Regions from separate parts of the Mus musculus genome. Here region 1 is reported to be linked to region 2. Evidence: microRNA targets listed by miRTarBase, many of them from high-throughput screens and not tested one by one. Region 2 holds a microRNA gene; the other region holds the end of a gene's coding sequence.
What was found. Region 2 holds the annotated microRNA mmu-miR-421-3p (AUCAACAGACAUUAAUUGGGCGC, at 6,915-6,937, opposite strand). A microRNA usually pairs through its seed, bases 2 to 8, with sites in the 3' UTR of a target mRNA and lowers its output. Matches are read on the target gene's strand: a 7mer-m8 pairs with bases 2 to 8, a 7mer-A1 pairs with bases 2 to 7 and ends in A, and an 8mer does both.

Region 1 (15,005 bases), not on the chromosome of region 2:
GAGAGCCCTCGAGATTCAGTAGTTGGAAAGCAGTTTGTACAACAACAAGCAGATCTCAGCATAGATTCAGTTGAGCTGACACCGATGAAGAAACACTTGAGCCTGCCTGCAGGCCAGGTGGTGCCAAAAACCAATAGTCTGAGTCTAATCCGGACAGCCAGTGCTTCCTCAAGTAAATCTTTTGACTATGTAAATGGCGGTCAAGCAAGTACCAGCATTGGGGTTGGCACTGAGGGAGTTACTAATCTAGCAGCTACAAATGCTAATCGATATTCAACTATCAGTCTACAAGAAGACCGGCTAGGTCACGCTGGTGAAGGTAAAGAGCTCCTCAGCCCAGGAGCCCCCTTAACCAAGCAGTCTCGATCCCCAAGTTTCAATATGCAGCTAATATCCCAGGTGTAGTTCTGATGCCCCTTGTTCTGCTAACCTTCTACACTGAACATTTCATTGTGCAAGACACGTCATCCCGCATTGTGAAAAGATGTCACTGTCATCAGATTTGACTTAGCTTAGGTATCTCATACTGTATTTTGTATGGAAACAGCAATAAGGTTTTCCTTTCCTTTCTTTTAACCTCTCTACCTATTCCCTTAAATGTGTTTGTGAAGCAGTGTAAAACGTTTGCCTTTTCCATGCCTTCCTTTCTCCTTGGGTGATGTGCAATCCATCGTAGGCTGATCGGTCCCATTTCAACACTGTGAGACTGAGGAGATGTCGAGGAAATGGTGTATAAGATCCCTATGAAATGATTCTTTGGCTTTTGTTTAAAAACAAAACGGGTTTGTTCACATAATCTATGAACTATGAAGATAACTGGATCATATGTTTTCTCTCTAACCAGGAGTGCCTCAGAGATTCTGCTATGACTTTGGGCTTCTCTGAGCCTGTGCAATTTTATATTCTTGGGAAGCATGGGGGAAAGTGGTAGACTACTGCAATTTTTTTATTAAAATGAGGCTAACTGCCCCCCTTACTTTATCCCAAGGACACAAATGTTTAATTATTGAGGCATTTAAATCAATTTGTGACCACCTCCATTGGAGGGTAGGGCTCTAAGTTGATTGTGTGATTGATAATGCACTTTCTCAATGGCTCTCTAGTCATTAACAACAGGTCTTCCCTCCTCCCACAAGGACTTAAGGACATTTCTGCCCTTAAAGTTTGAACTAACAAATCAGAGACTCAAAGGGGCGTGTTCTATTTCCCAGGAATGATTGATATTATGGTGCTGGGGCTTTGTTGGGGGAAGGGTGTTGTTTGTTTAGTTTGTGTGAGATTGTAAATGAGGTGAAGTTATAATTGTTTTCTTTCTTCCTTTCCTTTGTGAGTTGGTGATGACTGAAGTAGACACTGTACGTCTTCAGGTAAAGAGAGGGATTTCTCAGTCCACTCTCTGAGATATCAGACTAGAGAAACCCTTTCAGCTGCTTCCTAGATGTACCTAGATTCAGTCAGATATGGGATACAGAAACCTAAAGTCCTGAGATCATATACTCCAAGGAAACACATCAGGGACAGGTGATTGGTTGAAAACACTGATGCTTCTATGTGACACATTTGTATAGAACATTTCTACCAGAGGGTACTGACTTGATTGCTCTACAAGGACCACACTGCCTTTGTGTTTATTGCAGTTTGTGTATCTTCTGATTATCTGCAAAGTTTCTCGTTTTTATAAAACGTTGAAATCATGCCAGTAAACTAGATGTTGAATGTAAATGAGTAGCATTTGGTAACTGCTAAGAGGCTACAAAAATGCATTATTAGTTTAAAGGATTTTTGTTGTGATTTGGTTGGATAAGACTTTCTTATAATCTCTTCTGGGTCTCAGGCTTTGTTTGAAAAAGAAGGGAATATATTAGGATTTTAAAAATCAGTATTGTGTGACTTCAATTGCTATGAATTACCCATCTCAAGAACATCAGTTACACACACCCTTGTACATGTAGACATTTTATGTATTGTGAATGAAAATTACACTGCCTATATAGGAAGCAAGTGTCCTCTTAATTGACAAAGTTGTTTTATCTCTATTTACCGTAAAATTTGATAAATTAAATAGCCAGGAAAACGCCTCTCTTTTTTTTTTCATACATAAACCACCATTTTTGGAGGAGTTGTCTATCTGTCCATCTGTCTGTCTGCATTGTGTTAGAATAATCCTTAATTAGATTTGATAGTTTATAACATTTTTCAGCTCCCAGCAAATAGGGAACTAGAACCTCAGCTATTATCCACATCATTGCCAAACTTTGGAGTAAAACTAAAAGCTGAAATGTGATCTATTGATTGTTTATAATATGCGTATGATATGTGTATCCATTTATCACAGACACATTTTAGCCCTATTTCTACTAATTTAACTAAGAGATATCAAGTAAACTTAAAAGAAAAAAGAATTGTAAAATAGTAAAATAAAATGTTTTTGTAACCTACTGAACAGAGAGGCTTTGTGGTGCATAAGGAAGGTATCAGTCTTAGATGGCAAAGCACGCCTACTTCATGCTGGAGCTCACAGGCGCACATGTAACAGACTGGCATTTAAACCAAGCATTTTAAATAAAGCACAAGAGAATACCAAATAACTTGAAAGTATAGCATAAACTGTTGTAAATATGAGAAAAAATCTTTTGATTAGAAACATCATAACTGAAGAGTTGGTTTAAGAATCAGGAATGGTGGCATACACCTTGAATCCCAGCACTCCAGAGGCAGAAGCAGGTGAATCTCTGAGTTCAAGGCTGGCCTGGTCTACAGATGGAGTTCTAGGACAGCCAGGGCTACACAGAGAAGGCCTGTCTCAGAAAAGAAAAAAAAAAAAAAAAAAAGGTTTTTTTCATCTTTTTGTTGGCATGTGTAGACTTTGTATATACATCCCAAGTAATATTTCACAATCCTGAAACATTTGCTTCATATTCTTTGGGCTATAATTTGGTCTCAATGAACAAGTTCTTCATTTACACTTTATAGCAAGGGTCTTAGAATACATTTTCTGTGTAAGATAACAGTTAAAATGAAATGAATTAAAATTAGACAAACTACCAAGTTTTCTAATGATCATTTCAACCACTTTATGTTACCATCATTGAATTTAAAATGGTTTTTGTTCAGTTATACAGCAGCTGTTAAAAATGTCATAGAAAGTTAGAAATGTCCATAATTTAACCTTTAATAACTTCCCTTTAATATTTCTCAGCTTTCATGAAGCTTCATCGCACTAGTAGAAAAAAAGCATTTAGGGGAAAATATTTGTCTTATATTGATGCCATCTGTACTAGGTTAGATTAAGGACTACAGTATCTGAAGGTTTTAGGAGTTTTTCTATATGACTTTCAGTTAGTTTTACTGGTAAGAAAGCTAAAATATAAAGTAAAAAGTTAACTTACAAGCTAGGGAGGGAAGAGTTGTCATTTAAAATCTTGGTCCTTTGCCAATGCCCCTTTTTTCGCAGCCCACTGTGCTGTGCCTGTTTGTTGCAGATCAGGTTTCTGTGCTAGAAGAGACCCTAGAGATAATTTGGCTCTTCTCTCTGCCATACACACACATTGCATCCTCAGGACACTGAGGCTCAAAGGAGGATGTGAAATAAGGCCCATGACTAAGAAGCAGGGCCATAATCAAACCTTGTCTCTAGTCACGTGCATATTGATGCCTCATTGCCTCTGGTTATCCATACTTTAGTAAATGTGATATGAAACACTTCCATTTCTGCTATTTCTTTATGTTTCTGGTCTAGTAGCTGGTGAACACATTAAGAAAAGTATTAATTCCAGAAGGAAAAAAAAAGTAAAATAATTAATACAGATGGGGATGTGTTCAAAATGTAGGTGTCTGTATAGCACATTATTCTTTTCTAATTTATGCCTTGTGAATTTTCTACCACATAACAGTTATATGCTGCCATGTTATTTGTATTTTGGGGGATTTGTTTAGATGCAAAATAAACCCAATGAAATTTCCTTGATCAGTGTTTCTAACTATTTGAAAGTGATCTTTAATCAGCCAGTTTTCAGTCATCAAAGGTACACTGTAGAAGATTGCAGAGTAAAGATAAACTCAATTCCATTCATTTTTCATCTAGAGAGAAATTGTTCCTTACTCGGCTTAGAGTAGATAAGAGCAATATTCCTCTACGTTACTGAAAAAGAAGAATAGTGAGTGTGAAACTTTGAATCCATGCACAGTGGTCTCTGGGTCATTTATCACATATAGACCAGATAAAAACAACTCAAGTGTGGTAGTCTTAGCTACATAAGCTCAGTATCTCCAGCTGGTAGTCTCGATTCCATTTAGTAGCTTTTACATTCCGTTGCATTTGTCTGCACTGCTTTTGTGAATACCTTAATGCAGTGGTGCGTTTTTCCTACCTCACTTAGGAGGCTTCTTTGGGTCCATTGTTTAGTACTTAAGTTGTTGACAATCAGTGTCTCATTTAATCCACTGTATGTTTATTTATAAATAAAAATACTAGTTTCTGTCTTTATGGGTAGGGTAACATACTGTATAAACACTGGCAAGTGGGACCACTCCATTTCTGAACTTGAATTACATTATAAAGTAAGGTTTTTCTTTTTAATTTAATGAAAAAGTTTAGTATTCCAATGACATAGTTTTTCAATTTAAAGAGATTAATATGTCATGCTAGTGGTCAGAAATTCTACAACATTAGAACGTAGAGCAACTTTTCTGCACTGTGGTTATATCAAGCATTAAAACAGGAGGCTTTTCTCTCTCAAGCAAAATGACCACTGCCGTTGCTTCACCACCAAGTTGTGAGATACTTACTATAATACTTCTAATTTCCTTAAAGTGGTTTCCAAAAATAAGTGACTGAAAACTAGCTACTGGCAGCTTAACCTCTTAAAAATAGAATATTTACCAGATTATATAAACATGGAATATAGTGTAAAAATAAAATAATGAGTCATCAGGTTAGTACAATTTTCCATGCAAAGGAGATGAGCCAAATTCTAGTATTGTTTATAGTGTGTGAATCTAATGGATGCATCACACTGGTATGAAACTACTACATAGGAGGCACAGCCCAGCCTCTTGTCCTTGTAGATGCATCTCGTTTAATCCTGACAACATAATGACAACATTTCTCTTTTTTCCTCCAGTATTTTTGTAATGTTAGCCATTTGTCCTATGAAAAATAAAATCCAAGACCAAATAATTCAGGACACAGTCTCACAGAAATGTCGGGTCGTGTGAGGTAACTGGCGGAATAGCATAGGAGAGTTTCTGTGTTTTGCTTCTGAATTTTGAGAAGATGGGTTCTTAATGTTTACAAATTAAGGCATAGTCGTATGTCTGATAGTAATTATACTACTACATTTAATATGGTTTTACCAAAAAAAAAAAAAAAAGGTAGAATTAGGTGTATTTTAAGGTATAAGTCAACTTTTTTTTAAAACTTGTGTATCTGGAAGTAGAAGGTCTTTTCATTGACAAAGAAAAATGAACTTAATCAGATAATCTGCCCCATCTGCAAGTTTGCTATGCAGTTGCTGTATTTTGGTGTAAACAGCTCAGTGTCACTCATATCAGAAAACATCTTACGTCTTCATCAATTTACAAAATTTACCAAAGAAAATGTTTCTGCTGACAAATCATTTTTAAGGCATCTATTAAGGAATGTACCCCCCTTTAATGTAGTGACTTCTTTCTAACCCTGAAAGAAACAAATATTAATACATTATGTGAACTAGAAAACATATACAGTAAATAGATAATATCCTATTTTTCCCTACATCAATAAGATGTCAGTACTCAACTGAGAGTACCAATTAAAGAATAAGTCTTAATTTTATTCCTTATGACATATTTTTATTAAAGTTAAGGATTTTGCATATCAGTATTGGAATAAATGGGGGAAACTCCTGAAGTTGGTATATTGTATATTATGGGTTGTTTAGGTAAAATTATAGGAAAAATTATTGAAAGGTACCCTTCAATGGACAGTGTCATCTATTTCTAGTATAATACTAGCTATACTGATATGGTTAGGTTAGTTTACATTTATGTCTGTGTTCACTCTTGACTGCTTTTTGTCTTTGCATTAAAACATGGTTGGGTTAAAAGAAGATAAAATAACTGCTTCTGAAATATGTAGGCCAAAAAGATCTACAGTGTTTAAGCTGTCTAATGATTTCTTAAATAACGATTTATAGTTGTTTTTTTAACTGCTATTTTAAACACGTTCTTTAATTTTTTAATACCACATTATAGTTAATAAATATTTAAGTGGTGTGGTAGTACATGCCTTTAATCCCAGCACTCAGAGGCAGAGGGAGGCAGATCTCTGAGTTCAAGGCCAGGCTGGTCTATAGAGTGAGTTCCAGGACTGCCAAGGCTACACAGTGAGACCCTGTCTCAAAACAACAAACAAAAAATGTATTGTTCTTGGGAAGAGAAGATTGGCCTTCAAATAATGACTGATAATGGTTTGTATTACTTTTAATTTTATTATCTGAATACAGTGCAAAGATAATATTCCATTTGATGTTAAAAATATTAGTATGAGGTTTATCATGTTTTTTTACACTGAATCTTTTTGGTTCTAAAAACTAGGCTGGCTAACATTCAGTTTAAAACTGATTAGATGAAACTGTTTTAGCAGTGTACAGATTTTACTACCTTGGCTTTATGTACTGTGATTTCTGTAACAGGCAAACAGAACATCCCATTTTCATTATTTGTTTCTGTAAAAGGACAGATATATTTGATCAGCCTATTGTTATTGTTAACCTGTATCAATTTATAGCTTGGTATAAACTTCCCAAGTATTGAGAGGATTCTGCTGGTGAACATTATGGGTAGGCATATAAGAAGTATGATCTTTATTAAGAGATGTCTTTCAACTTAGGACTAGTGAAAAATCTTTTTTTGTTTGTTTCAGAGCTGAAGAAAAAAAAAACCAAAATGCACATTTAAGATCTTATGTACTGGTGCATGTGAGCCATTATCTTGTCTTATTGAATGGATCGATGCTGTTGATTGTTGAAATGTGAAATGTGTCACTGTTGAACTTGTAAATATCTGCCAGAGATGAAAAATATTTTAATTTATTGTAAATAAAGATGTATAAAATTTAGTATCCGTCTGCAATGCAGAAATAAAACATCTCAGATGTTAAATATTGTGTCTCCTGAGGGATGTGTCATTCCCCCCTTGATGTATCTAGCTACATTAAGAATGTAAAATTTCTTTTGTACAGTATAAAAATACAGCTTTATTTGGCTTTTAACTGGATTTCCCTGAGTTGATTGTATCTTACCTTAGTTTTATACTCTACCATAGTCCTTTCATTGTATTTTCAAATGTGATTTTACTTATGTGTCTGTTTTTATTTCATTTTGAAGCAGAATCTCACTGAGTAACCCTGGCTGGCCTAGAACTTGCCATGTAGACAAGGCTAGCATATAACTCCTAGAGATCCAGCTGTGTCTGCCTCCCACCATCACACCTTCCTAGGTATATCTGGACGTTTACATTACATTAAACTTATATGACACCAGGAAATAACACAAAGACCAAAAACTCTGCTGTGATGGTACACAGCTGTAATCCCAGCACTCGGAGGCTAAGGCAGGAGGATTGCTGTAGTCATCCTGGGCTAACAGAATGAGAAAATGTGTTTCAAAAGAGGACTAGGCCCTTAAGAAGTATTATCTGGCAAAGATGTTTGTGTCTAAGCCTGATGACCCTAACCCCTGGGACCTGCATGATGTAAGGAGAACAACTCCACAAGGTTTCCTGTGACCTCCACACATGCAATGAATAAGTGAATTTTATAATTATAAAAGTGTAAGTGAAATTGATTCATAAAATATATAGAACAGATCTACATTTTGGTATGCTAATTGTCGGGACACACATTTAACACTAAAGCAGCCAAATGCTTGTTTACAGAGGAGCCAGCTTTATTAATGAGAAGGCTCAGAATTTTCTTTTGAAAATTCTCCTCTCTCCTGTACCCCAGCACTGCTGATTTCTTTTTAATGCATCTGTGAGTGGCAGGGTTCATGTGTGTGCAGAGGCCAGAAGAAAACCTGGGATTCCATCCTAGAGAATGACAGCCTCTTTGAGACAAGTGTCAATGGCCTGATGCTCAGCAGTTAAAACTAGGTTGGCTGGCCAGAAGTCCCAGGAATCCTCCAGTCTCTGCCTCCACAATACCAGAACAACAAGTGTACAGGAAGATCATGAGTTGAGTTTAAGGCCAGCCTGGGCTACTAAGAATAAAGCCATAGTTGGCCATTTTTTTATGTGTGCTCTGGGGTCTTTATGCTTATACTGCAAACGTAAGACTCCTCAGAAGCTGTAACTGGCAATAAAATGCCGAGGGGGGTTGGGGACTTGTGAACTCTTCCCTTGCAACCACTAATTGCCTGTAGATAGATGTGGGGGGGGGGGGAGAGCCTGCTGAGTCCCTCATCCCTTCCTTATATGTTGACTAGTCTAGTCTTGATGTATAGGTGGTCACAGCTCCGAGGCCAAGAGTACAATGGCCAGGCCATGCCAAGAAGGAAGCATTTCACAAACACTTCACCTTTAAAAAAAATAATAGTGGATAACTATTATCCAATTCTCAACAGTGGCAAGGCCATCCAGACAAAGAGTTGTCAAAGAAACATCTTAGATCAAACGTACATAACAGATACCCAGAATATTCTGTTCAACAGCATGGAATACATATTCCCAGTAATCCATGAGACTTTCTCTAAAATCAACCATAGTAAAATGTATGTAACCTATTTGACCTTACTGGACTAAAACTAGAAATGAGCATCTAGAAAAACTACAGAAAATATATATATTAATTAGTAATGGATGTTAAACAAATATGGAGGGAAATAATAATTTACTCAAGTCCTCTTATTTTCTGACCCTTGGAAGGGAAAATCTAGCTTCATGCCAATCTGCTGACCTTTGAAATTTTGTTTTTTGTTTGTTTGTTTGTTTGTTTGTTTTTATCTCTGAGGCCCCAAAACAACATAGGCAATGGTTTCTGCTTTGATAGAAGAACTAGAGGGCAAGACACTGTTCCTAAAAATACCATATACTTTGGTTGCAAAGCATAGAGGATGTCACAGTCATTGGAAGGTGCTATGATAATCATTTGTGGCTGATGATTCAAATCATTTTTCTTAGCAGTTCAGTTCTAAGTATCTGTAATAAATACTGCCTACTGCAAAGAAAAACTGCTTTGATCAAAGCACACGAGCACTCACTAATCTCTGAGCTTAAAAACATTTAGAAGGCAATTTGACAGATTATGCACATTTAGCAGAATAAAAAGACCTTACCTCACATAGCCCTGCAAACCTCTCGAGCCACAAGCTTTTGACCAGGTTCACTGTCAGGATGTGAGTTTTCTTCCATGGAACTGGCACAAATACCATCAGAAAGTTGTTGGTTACCTCTGTATCAGTCATGCCACTGTTGCACCAGTAGCCACAGCTTGTGTGCCAGCCAGGCCAGGAGAGTAGCATGCTGAAGCCAATAGCATCTGTTGGTGACAGCTCACCCCAGCAACCTGTGTAGCACCTTCCAGGCCTGTAAAAGCTAGGCAGCAGAGGGGAAGCTTCCAACTCAGTTTCAGATGTATTTCTCTTATGTCCTGCAATGAAAATACATGCCTATGGCCCCTGCAATACCTATACCCAAGAGGGTGGACAAAACAATGGTAGTTATGGGTTCAATTTTGAAACATTTATGAAGCCCAGGAGTGAATAATTTTGGACATCTCCTGAATGATACATGTACTGGCTGGTTTTGTGTCAACTCGACACAAGCTGGAGTTATCACAGAGAAAGGAGCTTCAGGTGAGGGAAATGCCTCCATGAGATCCAGCTGTAAGGCATTTTCTCAATTAGCAATCCAGGGAGGAGGGTCCCTTGTGGGTGGTGCCATCTCTGGGCTGGTAGTCTTGGGTTCTATAAGAAAGCAAGCTGAGCAAGCCAGGGGAAGCAAGCCTGTAAGTAACATCCCTCCATGGCATCTGCATCAGCTCCTGCTTCCTGATCTGCTTGAGTTCCAGTCCTGACTTCCTTTGGTGATGAACAGCAGTGTGGAAGTGTAAACTAAATAAACCCTTTCCTCCCCAACTTGCTTCTTGGTTATGATGTTTGTGCAGGAATAGAAACCCTGACTAAGACAATACATTATCCTTGGGATGATTTGTACCAGGACACAGAAATCAGAGGAGGCATTTAAGACTCGAGGGTGAATACATGGAGTTAGACCAGTAGAACATACCCACCACATGTTCTCAGAAGGAACCAAGTTCCCTGAACCTGTCCAAGATACTTTGGTGTCACATAACTGGGAGTATCTCAGAGGCACAGAGTTACCCTGTCCCCAGAGTGATTCATCTGGAACCCTCTTGCTGCCATCTGCAATACTTAGGTTCATGACATTCTGTTACAGAAGAAGTAAGGGCTATTCCATCATTGAGAGGGATGGGATAGGCTTCAAATTGGCAGTTAAGGAGACTAGGCCTAAATCTCTGTTTCCAAGAAATGGACAAGTCCAGGCAAGCTCAGGCAAGTCAGTTACTGAAAACAACAACAACAAAAACTACAGGTTTCAGGTAGCTAGTCAGAAGCTGCCCTGCCACCTGGCCTAAGGCAAGGGCCAGCCGCAGTTTCCAGACTTCCTCAGCAAGTTTCCAGACTTCTCCAGCAACAGTTTCCAGCCCCATGACTCCATAGTTCTGGAATTTCCTTTGAGATGGACTCAACAGATTAAGATAGAGGTCACCTATTCCATAATTTCCCTAATGTGCTTTAAATTGAGCCTGAAAGCTCACTTTGGGATCTCTCTATCTTGGTAATGGGAGACCCCAGCATGCTGGACTTCTGCAGAATAAAGTACTGTATTTACATACTGTTTGAGTCCAGAGTATCATTCTTTGGTGAACCATTGACCCTTAGATAATAATATGGGGGTGGGGTGGAGAAAAGAGGCATTCAAGCATAGTCAAGAGTCCTCAGATCTGTGGGAGACTGATTACGCACTTGGCAGGTGGCTTCAAGAAGATGTAATAGGACAGGGTCTATGTCTCTGTAGGAGGTTTGGACATGGGCTTGCCCATCCATGCCTTGTGGTGGTTTCAGGGGATTGGATTGTTTGCACGGCAGAGGGGGTGCCAGTATGTTATTATGGCCTAGAGCTATAGAGTTATAGGTGCAAATTGTGTAGGTATTTGCTTATCTAATTTGATTGTAAAGAGTCTGTCATAGGCCCTCCTGCCCAATCTATCTTTATCATAAATTCAGAGCCCCAGGTTTCAGTGTTTTCCTAATTCCCATCCATTGTCAGGAGCCATTTTTGCCTGCTTCTGTGAACACCTGCCTGTCAGGCAGAGTCAAGGTAGGTCAGAGTCTGCTGGCAGATTTCCTGGCCGGCTTACATTTGGAATAAAAAGAGGGGATACACTTGAAGTTCAAGGCAAGGGGCTCAATGTTCTGTTAATGTTGGAGAAAGGAACAGGGAGATCCTAGATTCGGGAAAGACGAGCAGCTGCAAGAGGAAACTGCTAGGTATCATAGTCGAATTCTTTGCTGCTTGCTGCCACGGAAGAATTGAAGTTCTTTCCAAGGACAGGTTAGTTACAGAGAAGATACAACAGCTGCTAACTGCTTTTACTTCACTATCTGTGCAAATGCAAAACTTACAGGCTCAACAAGCTCAAGGGGAGATCTTGGGACCATCAGATGGATTACTAAGCTGAGAGCCAGTAAAACCCCAAGTGTTGGAGCTGGACCGGACCCTCCTCCAGAGATGGAGGCAGAGCCTCCAGTTGTAGCAGTTAATGAGAAAGCCATCTGGGAGATAGCCTTCACAGAGGCTTTTATTTCCCTTACAAGTAAGTGATCTTGAAAGAGGCTGCTAAGTAAGAGAAGAGAGAATGTCCAGGGATTTCATTTTACATTTCCAGTTATAGAACAGGTCAGTCCTCAAGGCAATAGTCAGAGTTTATCAACCTCTTCTGTTTAAACTGTTAAGGAATTAGAGTCTGCTTATGCACATTATGGGCCAACAGCCCCATGTACTCTGGCTATGCTTGAGCCATTGTTCACAGAGGCCCTCCCTCCTTGGGACTGGAAACAATTGGTAAGGGCCTAGTTGTCAGGAGATTTTCTTTATTATGGAAGTCAGAATTTGCTGAGCAGTGTCAAAGTACTGCTGAGATCAATCGAACATAAGAGATACATATTATGTTTGAGATGTTAGCAGGAAAGGGAGAGTACCACGAGACTGCTCAACAATTAAATTTTGACCCACCTGTTTATGCACAAGTTAATGATTAGGTTAAACTAAGAAAGCCTGGTATAAACTTATCTTCTACAGAGAGGCAGACGGAGGATTTTTCTGGAATTGGGCAGGGTCCAGATTGAGTTGTTCCAGAATTTTGTGGCCAGGTTGCTGCAGACAGGAAGCAAATTTATGGTGGATACTGAGGCAGTATTTCATAAGATGGATAAAGTCTAATTATCTTAATCAAACATTTAAATATTTTAAAATATATAATTTATTTTAAAAAGAATTTGTTTTAACATTTATGTAAAGTTTTATACCTTATATTTATAAAAGTTCAGACTTATGTTATAAACCATTTATATCTTAAACTAATAATAAAAATATTTTTAAAATATTATAAGTTAGATATATAGTAATATATAGTTAGATATATAGTAATTAGTTAGATATATAGTAATATATTTTTTAATCCACAAAGACAGGGAATTGTGGAACAATTCCATGGAGCTCTAAAAAAAAATCAGTTACAAAAAAATAAAATAAAATGTTGCTGCTAAGCATCTATGGCACGGCACAACTAGGTATACTTATGCCCAGGTGAAATGGAAGGACCCACTTACTGACATATGGCATGGTTCTGATCAGATATTAATATGGGGAAGAGGGCATGTTTCTCTTTTCCACAGGATGCTGAAAGTGACAGGTAGATTCCAGAGCATTTGGTTCACTATGTGGAGAAAGCAATTGACCAGACACATGATGCTGTTGCTGTTGCTGATGGGCCACTTCCTGATGCCAACTTGAGCAGAGTCCCCAAGCAAACTCAGATGACTGGTAAAAAGGACTGCATGCAGGACTTTGGTGGACAAACACTGGATCATCACAGACTTATGTCTGGAAACTTGCTGTGGCTTTGGGAGAGATTAAAGCAACTAGCACAACTACTAAACAGAGATGAACACTAGGTTGGGTTCAGACTGACAACAGTGGGAAATGTACTTGCCTGCATTTCCCTGCCATATGCATTGTTGACAGAGAAAATTAACATCACTGTGTATGGGTTTAGATTCAATGTAAGTTGCTATGACTGTAACTTAACTAATTGTACATCTGACATTGCTATGGTACTTCATCAACCTTCATTTGTTATGCTTTCAATGTTTCAGAACCTTGGTATGGAGATAGAGTCTTGCAAGTGTTGGATTGAATTCAATTACATCAAGAAATCTGAATCTAAATGATGCTAAACCCCTGAAATTTGATGCTACAAAAGTTGCCTCTGAATGGTTAGAGAAATTAAGAAAAAGCATGCCTTTTTGTAGCTGTCCAGGAGCCATGGACAAACTGGGTTTACCTGAAAGGGTAGCTGAAAATGAAAGAGACTTGGGGGGGGCAGGGGGCAGGAGCGGCGAGAGAAGAATGAAGCCAAGACAAGGTTCTGATCAAGGCTCCATATTAATATTCAGCACTGCATTTGTATAGGAGCACTCACAGACTCCATCCTTTGTTTCAGGTGGATTATGTTGCAAAGCAAGGTCAGTGAGAAGTCTGTTTTTCTAAGTTTCTGGAGGAAGTTGCATGTGCAACCAAGGCAGATGACTCCACCTAGGTCATTAACGTCTAATTTGGCAAGGTCTATTCAGTCTGCTTAAGGCAGAAAAAAAAACGTGCTCAAGGCTGGGAAGGGCACAATCCCCCCTTTTTTGCTTTTTAAAGATGAGGAGTACCAATTGCTGGCTGGGGGCACAAGATTTACTTGTTTTCCATAATCCTGTCTAGGGTAAAGAGTGGCCAGGTGATTGTACCTGTCTTAGGTCAGTGTCTATATTGCTCCTTCTTACCCATCATGGAGGATAAACATAGCATTGATGTATGTCTCTGTCCTAGGTCGATAGGAGCTCAAGAACACTCTTACCCAACTCTGACTACTGGTTTCCTATATCATACTCTTTCCTATTCAGACCAAAGCCACATAGAACATATGAATATGCACTTAATGCATTTCTTCATACTGATGAATAACTGCCACGGTGAATAGCTGAGCTTGCTGAAAGTGATCCCGTATGAAGGCAACCAATCTGTTTGAGATACAAGGTCCAAAAGTTAAAAGCAATAAGGTTATAATTAGTGGTCTAAGCAGTGTACAAATTAAAGTTGTAAGCCATGGGGAAGTGGAGAATCAGGATTCAAACCATCCCTGATTCTGTCCTTTTTTTCTTTTCCTTTTGTCTACTCCTTCTCTAACTTTAGCCATAGAATCCTTTACTATTCCTGATGATCGATGTAAAGTAATATTCTTCAATTAAGGGATGCACATAGTCCTCCATGTTGAAAGAATAAAAGATCAAGTCCTCTCCTGTTTTGAAGGACCACCTCAGACAAGGAGGTTAGAGATTCTTGCAAATGGGAAATAGAGTTTTCTATCCTTTCTATATCTGTATCTATTGCCATACTAAGGAGCTCACAATTTTTTCCTTGCAAATTCAGGGTAGAAGCACCAGTAGCTGCTCCTCTCACACTCAGAGAGTTTCATGGTATCCAAATTTAAAAATTTTCAAATAAAAAGCATGATTTAAATATTTTTGTGGCATACAGGGATATAATTCCCCCTTTTGTGGTTGTTATGAAGATAATGGTTTTAAGTTCTATGGGCCTGTTCCACAATACGTTGTCCTTTAGGATAATAGGAAATAAGAGTAATATTTATTTGTCATAATTAATTAGGTACGAGT
Region 2 (15,542 bases):
CCAGGGTTAAAAACCAATAACAACAACAACAACTAAAACAGAGAGAAACAACGAGAAACAAGTGAATCTTAGAAAAAAATAAAAGTAAAGTTTTATTGACAATTATATTAAATATAACTATTTGAGGGTATATATATGCTGAAGATGTGGGAATCAAAAAAGATACTTGATATAAATGGTAAATACAAGCAAGGAGATATGCTAAGTCATATCTTCTAAGAAGAAGCCAATCAGGATGTAGTAAATGCCTGTGCTCCCAAGAAGATGTAAGCACACAAAGCAAGTAGATGTCACTTTCAACAGTGCATAGGGCAGAGGCAGGAAATTAGCAAGGAAATACCGAAAGAAAAAATGCAAGTGCAAATGAACTGAAAGCATCCAGAACATTCCATCACTAAAACAACATACACCTTATCAAGCACATACAAAAATTGCTGCAGCTCGAATTCAAGGCCACCCACAGCCACGACAAATTTAGAAAGATTGAAATAATTTAAAGTAATACCTCTGACCTTAAAGTGATGAAATAAGAAATCATAACAGGAAGGTGTTTGGAAATTTTACAAATACAAGGAAATGACACAACATACCCCTGAACAATCAGTGGGTCACAGAAGCAATCAAAAGGGAAGCAAAAACTATCTGGAGACAAATCAAAATGTAAACACAACACATTTCAGGCTTTGAAACAAAGGGAAGGGGATTCTAAAAGGGAAGCTTATAGCAATAAACTACAACATCAAAAAAGAATGCTAAAGCAAACTGTATACCTCATGGAATTGGACAAAGGAACAAATTATGTCCAAATCTACTAGTTAATGGGAAATAATAAATGTAGAACATAAATACATTATTTCCCTTTGACCACCAAAATTGTTTTTTCACCTATGACTGAAATTTGCAATTCTCGGGGTACACACCCACACCCACACCACAGAGACACAGACAAACACACTCACACACCCAAAGTTTTTAAGAACAGGTGACATATATTCAAGGCTTCAACTGGCTATGAACTTGAGAACGACTCTGAACTGCTATTCTTTCTAGTGTTCTTCTCAGAGTGCTGGGGATACAGGTTTGTACAATGATGACACATCATTGAATGCTAGACAACCACTCATCCAGGGTATGTCTTCCAAATGAAGAAAAGCTCAGGACCACATAATACTCACTGCTGAATTCTACCATATAACAGAAAGGACTTCATCCAAGCACATTCTGTGAATATGCAAAATATTTTGTCCTTGATTAACATAAATCCTCAATAAAATACTTGCAAACTAAATTCAAGAACACAATGAAAAGACAACAGAGCATAGTAAACTGGTTTCATTTAAAAGATGGTTTCATAATACAAAAAAATGAAATATTTTACATACACAGAATCAAGGTCAGAAATCACATGATCATCTTAATAGATGCTGACAATGCTTTAAGAAGAATATTATCTGAGTATAAGTGCTATACTCAATGCAGAGACAACACAATGATGAATGGTGTCTACCTGAAACTTTTCTCAGCAATGAGGAATGACATAGGGCTGCCCCGCCCTCATATTATTTAGTCAATATAGTTTTGAATTCTTAGCTACAGAAATGAGGCACAAACCATTGCCACCTGCAGCTTCTCTGTAAGTAATATTAAACATTCATGCTTGCCCTCTTGCTCTCTCTCCTAGTGCTCATGGACGGCCTCTACTTCTTCCCCACCCCCCGTCCCCCGTCTCTCACTCTGCCTTTCTTTGTCTCTACAGCCTCAACTCCCTTCCCATGTTGTAAATAAACTGTCTCTCACTCTGCCTTTCTTTGTCTCTACAGCCTCAACTCCCTTCCCATGTTGTAAATAAACTCTATTCTATACTAAAAAAAATTCCATGCATAAGAGATTTATAAATATTAAACAAGTATAAATAAATGTAACCAAGATCTCAGAAATGAAAACTGTGAAGCAGATTAATACACTAGACACTGCCCAACACTAAACATAGAATAAGTCATATTAATTGATGTGATCTACAAATTAAGTGCAAATTTGAATGATATTCATCAGATAACTAGCGTAAAATATTGCAATTCGTATGCAAAGAGCCAAAGCAATCCTCAGACCAACGAATAACACCAACATCACACTTCAGACTACACTGCATAGACACCTAACATGGATGTCGCAGAAAACCTCCTTTTAAAAACTATTAGCATGATTGGTAGTGTTTTATGCACATAGATGTTCTACCTGCATGTCTCTGTGTCTCTATACCATGTATGCGCATATTCCATGCAGAAGGCAAAATAGGGTGCTGGGAATCCAACCAAAGGCTCCTGAGCCATCGCTCCAGCCACTTACCTGAATAAGTTTATTAAAATAGCTGACATAGGCATGTGCAATGGTGAATTCAGCCTCTACTCCTGGGTCAATACTGACAAACTATTGTGCTTATGCATTCTCACTGGGAAACAATCCCATGCCTTGGGGCCTTTACCACAGGGATTTTTGTTTGTTTGCGGGGGTGGTGGTGGGGGAGGGTAATAATTCTGAGACTTAGTAGGAACGCTCACTGGTCCTATCACTTTCAGATGGCCTTCCTTTGTACCTTGAATTCGGTGAATTGCCATATTAGGTACCACGGGCATCTATCTCATATATTTGAAAGCCATAGCCATCATTCAGCTCCCTTACCAAAGTGGGAGCCAATGGCAGAGAGCTCAGTTGTAAACACTGGACATGTCTCCCTGCTTTCAACAAAAGTTCCCATGGATAAAAAAATGGATAAAACACCTTAAAATAAAGCCACAAACTCATATAGGAAAATGGAGAATACTTTGAATTAATAGCATAGGCAATAATTCTTCAAAAGACTACAACAGCTTAAGAAATAATAGCAAAGTCTGATAAATGGGATCACATGAAAGTACAGTGCGCAGCAAAGGAAAGAATGGCAGATCTTCTGACAGAATTAATATTTGGAAGGTGGGAAGAATTAAACACCAAAAGAAAAGGAAACTCACCCATGTTGGGCAGCTGACAAATGCCTGTAACACCAGGTCCAGGCGAAATCGGATACCTCTAGTGTCTGGCTACTATAATCATATTGACTCATACACAGAGCTAAGGACAATTATACCTAAAATTACCTATGAACTTTGCTTGTAACTGTCAGAAGCAGAAATATTCCACGTTAAATAACTACAGAATGGTCTAATGCCCATCTGCATGGGTAAATCTCAATTACATTTAGGAAGTGAGAGCAGCCAGACTCCAAACTCTAAACATTACATATGATTCTACGGATTTCACTTTCTAGAAGTCAAAATATTAGCTATGTATATCAATCAAATTAGTCGTTCCCACGCAAAGGGGTAAAAAGTGACTGAATTTAGAAGACTTCCAACTGCTCGGCATGATGGCACATACACAACTCAAGAAAAGGCAAGGCAACACACCCTCTCCAGGAAACAACCCCCAGCCACAAAAACAGTCTGCATGGACTGAAGATATGCAACTACATATATTTTACAATCTATAGAACTACAATCAGATACCATCAAAATGTTATATTTCAATTGTTTAATGAAATATCCACATTTATTAACTACAGGCAGGAAGTTGTACAAGCATATTGAGAATACCTCAACAGCACCTTTATGATACCCCAAGTATTCAAATAAAGAAAATAATTGGCAGAAATTAATTCTAAAGATATATAAATAAACAAGATATATAAATATTAATGTACAATGCATGTTACATTTTATATAAAAATGGAAAAGTCCAAATTGTACAGTAATATGGCATGATCTAATAAAACCTGAAGTACATATTAGATGTAGATTTTATATTGTACTAATCAAAGGATATAACATAGAAATATACTCTTGAAAACTCGAATTTAAGATATATAAAAAGTATGATGGCTATTCTGTTCTGAAATTATGCTGCATCCATACTCAGATTTTTATAATTATTTTGTAAATTATAGAACTATGCATGTTCACAACTTTCAAAATGTTGATCATGTTACGTTCACTGAGGGGAAATAAATTCCTTTTTCAATAGAATAAAAAAGTCCAGTCCAACTGAATCAAGTTACTTTCTTAATGGTCTTCAATCAACAGGTCATATTCTTGTCAACTGGGTGTTGGTTCTCTTGCTCCTTCAGGTATTGGACTAATTCACGAGATGATAAAATTTCTAGTTCGATGTGCCTAGTGAGCTGAAAGTGGGATGAGCATTCAGAGTCCCCGGAAGAGCAATATCTATCATGTAAGTGCACAGGAGCTGCCCTGTGTTAAATGTCTTCCACGACAAAAATCATAGTCCTTCCCTGAAGTAGCTCTTGTCTGTTGGATGTTCCACCATGCATTTCAGGATGACAAGTATTAGGTAGATTAACCTTTGATGCTAAGACAGCACTAAGGATGTCTGGAGCCTGTCTGTCTACTGGATATAAACTGTACTTCTTTAATCAGTTAATTACCACTTCTTCTTCTATATCTTGTCCGTAAGTCTTTAAATACCTGTATCAGAATTCAATGAAAACCTTGTTCTGGTTTCTTTCCCAGTTAGGTAAATAAAAATCTCGAAAAAAGGAGTAACATGTAACAAGCGTTGAGAAGCGGTCTATGAATCCCTCACAAAAGAAAGACATCGCATTCACTCTATTTCCTATGGGAAACAGTTATCTCCCCAAACATCAGCATTTGTTATTTGGTCACAGCATTTCATAACTTCCCTCTCCATCTTCTTGGGGCACGACTCCTTTCGTTCTATCCAGAGAGCAACTTGGGTTCCAATCCGCACACTCACTGATTCATGATTCAGCTTTTCACAGATCCAGTACTGGGCAGGGAAAGAAGATTGCTGAAACACATTTGGGTTGGGTAAAGAGAGGCAGGAGTTAAGGAGTCCACACAAGAATGAGGAGGCAAGACCAAGGGTAATAAACACAATAAAGCTTGACTCAGGTGTTCTGGGAATTCAATGTAGAATAATTGAAAGTCAAGACTTTTCACACCTAAGTTCTACCCTAACCATCCTAAGAGACTTAACCAAGACTGCCAAGGGCCACGATTGTCTTATAAAGCCTAATTCCTACAATATTTTCTTACAGAGCTCCTGTTCTTATATAAAGCTTCTCTAGTTGCCAACATGACATCAGATGGCTGGTATCAGACTAATAAACAAGAATGTTCTGTATTGTAGGAGTAACCATGATAAAGTCTGCATCTACCTTCAAATCCACTGGCCACCCTCTTCGTTCTGACTTGGTATTTTCGTGCTATCTTCTGATATTTGGGCCTGAGGGATTTTTCATTGTTGATGTCTAACACAACAAAGATTTCTGTGTATCTTGTGTATAAGGACATTAATACTGTGAAATAGAATGGTTAATGTAAACAAAATCCTAAGACAGGGCTAGCATGTGACTGAGAACAGGCACCTGTGCTCTATGATAAGGCTAACCACTTGGTGTATGAGGTTCTGTGTGGCTGTGGTTACCTCGGACAGTATTTTCCATTTTTCTCCCTTGTCTAAGCCCCAGGGGCAAATATAAAGCAGGCCAGATTTCTAAAGGACCAGTCATGAAAACAATGATTATTAAATCAGCGTTGAAGTTCAGACACCAGGGTCCTTTCCTCAGGAGCTGGGTCAGTAAAAAGTCGTTTGAGGACGAACTGTGCAGTCCAGCCAGGCTCTGTCAGTTCCCTAGACTCTCTTGTGTGGTTTACCTTCTAAAAACTCAATTCCATCTCTCTATCATCCCAAACAGCGAATGGAAATTCTACATGAGTTGGATGTTTCGTGATACTAGAATGGTTTCTATCTGTGGTGGTGTAACATGCTAATCTTCATCCCTCTATAGTTTATCTTAAAAGATGAATTAGAGAACAGTGCAACTTTCTAATGAACATGTGCCCATGTCTATAATCCTAACAATTGTGAGGCAGCAGCAGGATTGCTACAAGATTGGGGTCTCCTTGATCTTTGTAGGTAGTTACTAGACAGCCAGGACTACCTAGCAAGAAACAAAGAAGGAAAACCACAAATCTCGTGCTTCTTAGAGTCCATGCCAAACCTCAAATCCTTTCACGACCACTCCAAGTTGTCTTCTTCATATGTCTGCCTGCTCCAGTGAAGAGATGGATCCTTTCATAGAAAGCTATTCTAGCAGGGTGTACATTCTGCCCTCTGTGGTGCTTTGAAGGAACACCGTGGCCCTACCTCATGTATTTGAACACTCATATCCCAGGTGGTGGCTACATTTGGGAATGTAATGGGACCTTTCAGAAGGAGAACCTTGCTTGAGGTGTGTCACTAGGGGCAAGACTGGGGTTTTCTACCCTGGTTCCACTTCCTGTTCTCACTTAGCTTACCACACTGAGGCCATGCCTGCTCTGTTACTATATCCTTCTGGAGCTATGAGCAGCAATAAAATTATAAATGGAGGTATGGGGAAAGCGGGTAAAGGAAAATGAATACCAACCATAACAGCACACCCCAGATTTTAAAGACGAAGCTCCTACTCAGTGATCACTGTAGTCCAACCTAGGGAGTAATCGGTAGCGATTATAGTAACAACAACAGAGATGCAACAATGACAAGCAGGCATTTCCAAAACACAGGCATAAATACAGTATTTCATAGAAAATATCACATTTATGGTACATGAGCTATTATCCCTTCCTTCCACACCCTCAGGATAGAAAAGAACCAGATATGGAATCCTTTTTATAAAACACAGTCGAGGCACAATTATCAATCAATTGGAATTGGTTTGAAAGGTAAAATATATCCACTATGATTATACTACACAGAACACAGGAATGAGCTGCAGAAATAAGGACGCTGCGGAGAGCTTGAACGTTGAAGGCCACTGGCAGGAACAAGCTGAGCCCATGGAGATCACAGAGCAGGCGCCCAATTAATGTCTGTTGATGATTCATTTTTTCATTCAACAAACATTTAATGAGGCCTACAATGTGCACCGGATTAGGCACTGTGAGTACAAAGTCACCATCCTTGCCCTTACGGATTAGTTTGATAGACGAGAGCCATAACCTCGGACAATGATAATACAACCTGCTAAGTGCTAGAACACTTAGCAGGTTGTATTATATCCACCCGAGTAGGATTTCTTCAGAGGAACACCACTCCAGGTTGCTGCGCGATCCATGAAGTTCTCCTGATCACCAAGGCCAGCTGTTGTTTCTTGCTCTCCAGGGATGACAGTCACAAGAACTAACATAGCTAGTTATCAGTTAGAATTCGGCTTCAGGTCAACTGTGACCATTCCCCAAACATCCTTTTCTGTGTTTATACAAAAACCTTTATTCAGCTATAACACAAGTTTTCAAAAGCTTTTAACTTAGAACAAAGAAGAAAGGCAATAGATTACTAATCAAGAGCATGAATGGAAGAATCATCGAGTTTCCTACATGGGCTAACTTCACATTAGTGAATCATTAAAAACGTCCATGATCCCTCCCCACAACACCATTGACCATTCAAAAGGTATAATAATAATTAACTTTCTTCTTTTAATTCTTGCATTGCCCGCTCCATCATTAACAGCAACAATAACTAAGATAGCATTGAGTGGACGCAATTAACAAACAGGCCAGCTAATGCCTATGCCCAAACCCTAGAGTCACTGTTTGCATGCACACTTCAGAGCTTCCTTTCCCAAATCTGAACCATTTACTTAAGTAAAATTGTCCTCATTATAAATGCATTATTTGAATAGTAAAGATCAATACGATAGGTCTGAGTAGAAAACATGTTCATAGATTTTGTTGTTTGTTTCAGTCAGGGACTTGTTATGAAACCCAGACTGGACTCAAAGTCAAGATGGTCTTCCTGTATAAGGACCCGAAATGCTGGGATTCTAGGCATGTGCCAACATGCCTTGCTTTATAATGCTTTGAGATCAGAAACCCTAGAGTGGATATTACACATATCTGATGCTTCAAAGTAAAGCAATGAACATTTCAAGTCTCTAAACACTTCAAAAGAAAAATAAAGTTCAGGAGAAAGCCTGCCAGTGACAAGAGACTATTCAGATGAGAATGATGGGGCACCGCTGCTATCTCCGTGTCTTACTGAGGATTGGCAGTTCCTAGATACGGCTCTTCTATGGAGAAGAAACTAAATGTATATCTAAGGAATGAGAGGATGGCAGCTATCCATGACAAAAAATTCCTTCCCTGTAAAACTCTCCTCCATATATCCTACCCCAAACCTCTTAGCGAGTAACTAGTCAGCCTGTAAGGTTTAATCTATATACCTGAATATCTCTCATCTTTGGGACTAATTCAATATCCTGACTACTGAGAGAACTGAATAATAATAATAATAAATGATTTGAACTGTGGACAAACATTTAGATCAACATGAAAAAGTGATCTGAGAGGGAAACAGACTCTTAAAAAACCCCTTGTAGCCCCGACAAAAGTTACTCATGAGTTAAAAGACATTTGTTGGCAGCATTATCAATAAATAATCTTAGCCTGGGGTTTAAGATTATAGGGTAATAAGCACCTTGAAATTGAAGACCCTTAAGGTGTATCTATATTCATAGTTAGAAGTTTAAAATGGACAGACAATCTGGTATAAATCGTCATGTCTCTGAGCCAAGTAGGAAGATGAACAGCAGCTCCAGTGTCTTGAGCCCAATTCTCATCCATACTCAACTAAACACAACCTTGCAGTATAACCCATTTTCTGGCAGTCCCTTAGACAAGGAGCAGAAAATACCTTTAAACGAATTCAAGGCCAATAAGGATGTCTGGATACAAATTTCTCCAACAATATGTTACTGAAAACTTAAGCCTTCAGAACCACTGATTAAAGTTTGCATAAAAGCTACATTACCTAACATAGTAAGAGACTATCAATCTTTCTTTCATTCCTTGTTTACCCTGTTGAGACAGGGTTGCTCGATGTAGCCCTGGCTGTTCAGGAACTGGCTTTGTAGACAAGGCTGGCCTTGGATCATTTCAAGGTAGACAAAGGGAATGTATCCTTGATGTGATTTTCCCATTTACAGATTATGTTTATAAAATACTGTTTGTAATTTTCATTGTCAGCTATTCCAAAAACAAAATGTAGAAGTGAATAATATTGCCTGTTTTTTTTGTGCTAGAGATTAAGCCCTTTGTAACACACATGTTGGGGACATGCTCTACCATGAGCAGGCAACAGGAACATCCTCCAAAATGCTCTATCCCACATACCCAGAGTTCCTGCGCTTGTTTTCTACATATATATTAGATATGCAAGGGTAGACTATAGTCTTCCTGGTGCACAGAATTTTTATGATTGTGCTTAGGTGTTAGATAATTGCCTTTAAAACCTCACTGGAATGCATCAGAAGGCTGTTGTGGTGATCATTAAATGGGAACATATCAAGTGGAGAAACAAAGTTTTACTAGAAAATGGGGACCATCAAAGCGGTTAAGGATTAAAGTTGATTTTCAAGATTAAGGTGTACAGGCCGGGGGTGGTGGTGCACGCCTTTAATCCCAGCACTCGGGAGGCAGAGGCAGGTGGATTTCTGAGTTCAAGGCCAGCCTGGTCTACAGAGTGAGTTCCAGGACAGCCAGGGCTATACAGAGAAACACTGTCTCGAAAAACAAAACAAAACAAAACAAAACAAAACAAAACAAAAAAAAACAAAAACCAAACAAACAAAAAAAAGATTAAGGTGTACAAGAGCAGGACTTGCCCAGCATGTGCAAGGTCCTGGGTTAAAGCCTAAGCACATTTAACCACAAAACACTCTAGGTAGAAGAAAGGGCTGCACGGAACTATGTATTCTCATCTCAAAGACGCTCAAATGGAAAATCTTCAGTATCAATTATCACAAAAAGACAATTATTGGTAAAATATAAGTTATAATCCAACATATATAGCAAATAACACTCGTAATAAGTCTTAAGCATTGTACAAAAAATTAAAGTGTCTTAGAAGAATTCTATAGTTAGGGTACATAATGGAAGTCACAAAAGGAGAGTAAATGAGGAAGCTTAAAAAACAAAAATCAATCCATGAATGAACAGCGTATAGCAAAAAGTTACCCAGACATCAAATCTACTCATGACAGTAAGGTGACACAGTCTAAGATATTGAAAATATAATCCTACAAAAATGCAATGAGACACAAATTATTTTTGATGGGTTTTCAATAAGACAATGAGTTGATTCTCATGACACATCATACAGAAGTAGGATAAAATGATTCAGGACACTACAGAGCAATAGAAACTCACAATGAAAGATAAACAGCATTAGTGAAACTCATAAAACCAGTACCACAGACTAAATCAATTGTCTTCTCACGGTCCATTCAAGTACAACTGTTTAATGGAATAACTGGAAACCAATGTGCCTCGTATATACAGGTGATTTTTTGCTTTTTGGTTTTGTTTATGAGACAGCATTTCCATATTTAGCCCTGGCTGTCCTAGAATTAGCTCTGTAGATCAAGCTGTCCTTGAACTCCTATATCCACCAGCCTCTGCCTATGGAGTGATGGGATTAAAGGCAGGCGCCACAGCTTCTGTTGCATATTTCTGAGTAGAGATATTTCTGAGATAAGCAGTCAGGTGTCCTTCCTTATCACACTCTAGACCCCAAAGGCATGATGCTCCCCTCCCAAGCAGGAAGTAGAGTCAAAAAATGATGCCCATACCCTTTATATATAAAGATATTGAATCAAACACCACACTCCCTAAAGCTAAGCTCAAAGTTCTAGGAAGCCAGATATTTGGAGTAATAAAGGTAGATTCCCCTTACCAAGATGCCTGGTGGTTACAAAACAGACCCTGACTGCCATGTCAGCTTAGCTAAAGAAATGAACTACCTTACCCATTGGCTTCTAATAAAATTCACCTCATTATCCTGAGAAGAAAAAAACCCAAAGCACTAAAAACAAACACCCCAAGTGAACAAACAACTGAAGAATGAAAACAAGCAAATACAAATCAGACTTAAGCATGTAATCCACACTCTCTTGAAGTTTGTTCCCTGGGAATCTGCATCTTATAACCTGCTCAGTGTTTCCAGAACTCTCTATGGCACAAATCTGTCATTAAATAAAGCTCACTGGAGCTGTGTGCGACTGTCTAATCCTCATAGTTTATTATTCCTAGAAACTTAACTCTTGCATATCCTTAAGAGATTGCAAGTGAATACAAGCAAAACTAACACTGTTTACCAAGTCATGAAAAAAATATTTTGGATTCAAAGGCTAGCAACACACATGCCCACTGAGAAAACAGAGCACATGAACAGTATACTGCTATCCTTTGTTTTTTGTAGGAAACCTAAATTTCAAAGACTTCATTTGTTTCAGCAAATATCAGGTCAAAGTCACGTGAAACAAGAAACAGTGGTATGATTCTAAGTTATCCTACTTCAGCTTTCCATTAAGACATACTGTTCAGTGACACAGAGCATATATACTTACCATGAACAAGAAAAGCAGTTCCACAATTACCATCAAAGGGTTTGCTAATAACACCCATTAAAGCAGTCAAATTATTCCAATGCTATTATTGAGAAAGTACTAAGAAAGCTCAGCAGTACAATGAAATTCTTTTTTTTTTTTTTTAGTACAATGAAATTCTATTTAACCATATGTTCAAAGCTTGATAGTGCGATTCAATATCATTAGATAACCTTACACAATAAACTAATGAGCAAAATAGGACATAGCGCCGGGCAGTGGTGGGGCATGCCTTTAATTGCCGTACTCAGGAGGCAGAGGCAGGTGGATTTCTGAGTTCAAGGCCAGCCTGGTCTACAGAGTGAGTTCCAGGACAGCCAGGGCTACACAAAGAAATCCTGTCGCGAAAAACCAAAATACATACATACATACATACATACATACATACATACATACATACATACTAAAAATAAACCAAAACCAAAAACCAAAATAATTAAATTAAATTTTAAAAGGACATAGCTTATTACCGGAAATATATTACCTGATGACTAAAGCAAAGGATGTTGGTTTTAGTGCTATTACTAACCTGTCCTTGATCATTTGTAAATGAAAAGAGGACCTTGAGATTTATCAGTGGAGGAACAGTATTTCCAAAAGGTCAAGGACATTGCATATCAAAGAGAATTTAATCTGACTTTCCATAGATAACCAACCCTTACAAGATTGGTAGTGCTACTCTGATTCCCAAAGTTTTAAGGACTGTTTTGCATTTTGTGATAAAATGATAAGATTTTTGCATTTGTTGCCTACTTGACCTTCCTTACATTTTACACAGTATTGGGCAACTCTGATCACTCATTACTTGTAATGGAAAAATATTCTGTATCAAAAAACAGGGAGGGCACTTACACATTACTGAGGCAATATTTCATGTGCTAGAATTTGAATTCAAAAATTAAGAAGGCAGTCACCCACCTGCCTCAGTGACTTGAATGCAGAGGGAATGGGAAAGTAGCATTATCCTTAATTAATCTGAGGGTGTGGGATGTGAGTGTGTGTGTGTGCGCAGATGCACACACGCCACAATAAGGATGTGAGCCAAAGGACAACTTGAAGCAATCAGTTTAACAGTGCTACTTCTCAATCTCAAATCCACACGAATCACTCTTCTATATGTAGTGACACTGGGATTTGTGTAAGTGCAATGAAAGCATTCAAGACAATAAAAAATAGGCATATCTAAGTACCTCACCTGCAAGGTCCAAACTGAATATTGTGTGCAGTCATTATATGTAACAGCCATAAAAACATTTACTTTTCTTGGTAGACAAAGAGCACTACTGCATTCAGGCTCATCCCCCCTCCTGATGACAAGAGAGGTCTTTCTTTCTTCTCTTCATTACTCTTTCAACATTCTAGAGGTTAATGCACAGGAGCTCCTTGCTGGCCACAAACTCGGAATTATCACACTATCATGTTCACATATCCAGTCAAAGGTCAAACGCAGAATGCATACTAAAACACCAATTTAAAAGGCTGAAGACAGGCAGTCTCAAAAAGAAACACAGATAATAGCATCTACGTGGACACCTCTGGGTCTTACTCTAATGGGAACGACAGCAAACCAGAGGCACCTTCTGTAGTTTCTTAGCAAGAAAATTGTAGTATCACCAGGACACCCAAGTTACTAATGAGTTTCATTACATAGTATTTTACTCCCAAGGAACAAATAAGGTACTAGTTTTTCTAGCAATCAAATTTTCTCTGAAGAAAACCGGCTTCCCTGACCAGGGGAATATAGATGTGATATTAAGGAAACCTTTCTTACATTAACTTTTGAAAATTATATCCTTAAATATAAAGAGAAAGAAAATACGTGCTTAGTCATGTTGCTAGACTGTGAGTGATGGCTGACAAGTTTAATCTCAACACTTCACAAGTGGGCCTGTGCTAAATGAGTTCTAGAATAGTGTAGGACTAAGGGATAAAAAGTGTGCCCTGAGAGTTGAATCTCCAAAAGAGAAGGGGATGATAGAAAGATGAGGGTCCATGAGCGTGCTGAACAGGCTCCAAGCTAAAGAAACAGAAAAACTGCCCATTTCTGCTTAGCGACAGTCATTGTTATCAATTACTCCAGTGGCTGGAGAGCTGACCTATCACATTTTCAAACACACCTGATAAGCTGGGCAACTTGTGTTACAAAACCTTTTTCCTATTCATGTTAAGAGAATGTTTGAAGTTAGGTGTGGTGGCACACACCTCAACACTCACGAGGCAGACTTAGGAGGCACAGCAAGGCAGAAGCTTGTGAATTTGAGGAGAGCCAAAGCTACACACAGACAACCTGGCTTAAAAAAATCATTTCTTTCTCCCACGCTACCCCATTGTTGGTTGATAGCCCCTTGATCGCATAGCATTAGGCCACAGAAAACCATATTTTGCAACATTGTTCAGGGGTCCTAAATGAGTGGGTTCTCTTACAGCCCTTAAATTCCGCCTTGAAATACACTGGACATACAATAAATTCCAAAATAGGAGAAATCAGAATTAGAGTGAGCTGGGGGGCAGATAAAGGATTATGCCTTGTCAACAAACTGGAGCAGAACTGGTGTTTTTACCTACTTACAATACATGCTTCCTGGAATGTTAGCTCTTGAAAGCACTATGCAATGTTAAAAAAAAAATCAACCAGTCAGGCTGATCTAAAAGGAAAGATGTTCTTTCCTTCTTGTCCTAAAGCAACACATATACTTGTATCACCCGTATCCATAACATTTCCTATTACACTCCTACGATTTCCATTTGCTCCTTAATAGATGACAAGCCAAGCTATTAAAATGCTGGAGGGGGTCATGCAGTTTCCTTTAGTTTGAGTCAGCCCACCAGCCTACAGAAGGAAAGGAGACTGATTAAAACGTTCTAATGCTTACACATAAAACTCAGCAGGGCCTACTCAGTGAACCTTTAATGTAAGGATCTGCACTCCTTATCTCAAACAACTTACCCTTGTCTTAAGATTCTGGGGGTAGCAGCAGGCATAAAGGATACAGATTTTCTAAAGATGCGGCACACCTTCCAAAGAGACAGCAAATCTAATGCCAAGCAGACATTTGCACCTTGTAATTAAAGGAATCTCTTAGATTCTGCTCAAGTTGTCCTGTGAGAGCACATTAAAAAGATCAAATGGCAGAGTAAAAATGATCACAAGTCTCATATTTGGAATGGCTAAGGGGCCAGGGTTAATCCAAGTGACTTTTGGGGCAGAGTAACTTCCATAAGTTTCCATAGAGCAGTGGTTCTCAGCCTTCCCAATGCTAAGACCCTTTAAGACGGTTCTTCATGTTGTGGTGACCCCCAACCATAAAACTATTCTCATTGGTACTTCATGCGTGTAATTTTGCTATGGTTATACATTTATTGTAGACATTTGTGTCTGCAATGGTCGTAGACAATTGCTAAGGGGTCAAGACTCACAGGCTGAGACCCACCACCATAGGGAAAGACAGAACCCAAAATAGTTAAAGGGAGGTTGAAAACCTAGAGCTAGAGAGCACTAAAGAGACCAGGCAATGCAGGGCCTGACTGACAGCACTTGCCCCACAAGAACCTTTTTTGTCTTCTTAGTTCTGTAATGGACCAAAGGCAATCCCGGAAAAGAAAAAGTTGGGAGGTGATCTAGCCAAAAAGCAAGGAGCAAGGCTTTCTTGTTCATGAAAGCTGTAACACTAGGGGTAGGGGCCCTGGAGTCAGAAACTAAGGGATGGTTATATTATTTTACAATACTGGGCTGGTAAGATTGCTCATGGGATAAAGATGCATCCTGCCAAGTTTGACCCAGTTTGGTGGAGAGAACTATCAACTTATCCTCTGACCCCAATGTACATGTCCCCTACACACAAACAATTCTAATTGTTCCAATGTATAAGAAAACAAACTGTTCTCTGGAAATGCTTGGCTCCTTCCAAAGGAGAGCTCTCTATTTCGGAATCAATATACTGCTTTGAAAAGAGTACCATTTTTTTGTTTGTTTGTTTTGTTTTGTTTTTGTTTTTTGAGACAGGGTTTCTCTGTATAGCCCTGGCTGTCCTGGAAC

Region 1: the mRNA of Fam126b is a reported target of mmu-miR-421-3p. Seed matches in the 3' UTR shown: 7mer-A1 at 1,710-1,716, 7mer-m8 at 6,996-7,002, 7mer-A1 at 7,004-7,010 and 8mer at 7,026-7,033.

What each region holds. Positions count from the first base shown.
Region 1 is chr1:58,515,058-58,530,062 of GRCm38, reverse strand. It overlaps Fam126b (family with sequence similarity 126, member B), which reads left to right. Exons shown (of 13, transcript NM_001310598.1): 13 at 1-7,257. The coding sequence ends at 405. Gm15834 (a long non-coding RNA gene) reads right to left here. Exons shown (of 4, transcript XR_865442.3): 2 at 9,315-9,628. Among named protein-coding and RNA genes, the nearest start is that of Gm15834, 17 kb to the right of the region's middle.
Region 2 is chrX:103,566,016-103,581,557 of GRCm38, forward strand. Mir421 (microRNA 421) reads right to left here and starts at 6,981; the gene lies at 6,906-6,981. The region is part of intron 9 of Ftx (Ftx transcript, Xist regulator (non-protein coding)); the gene reads right to left. It overlaps Mir374b (microRNA 374b), which reads right to left and starts at 7,139; the gene lies at 7,045-7,139. Mir374c (microRNA 374c) reads left to right here and starts at 7,070; the gene lies at 7,070-7,118.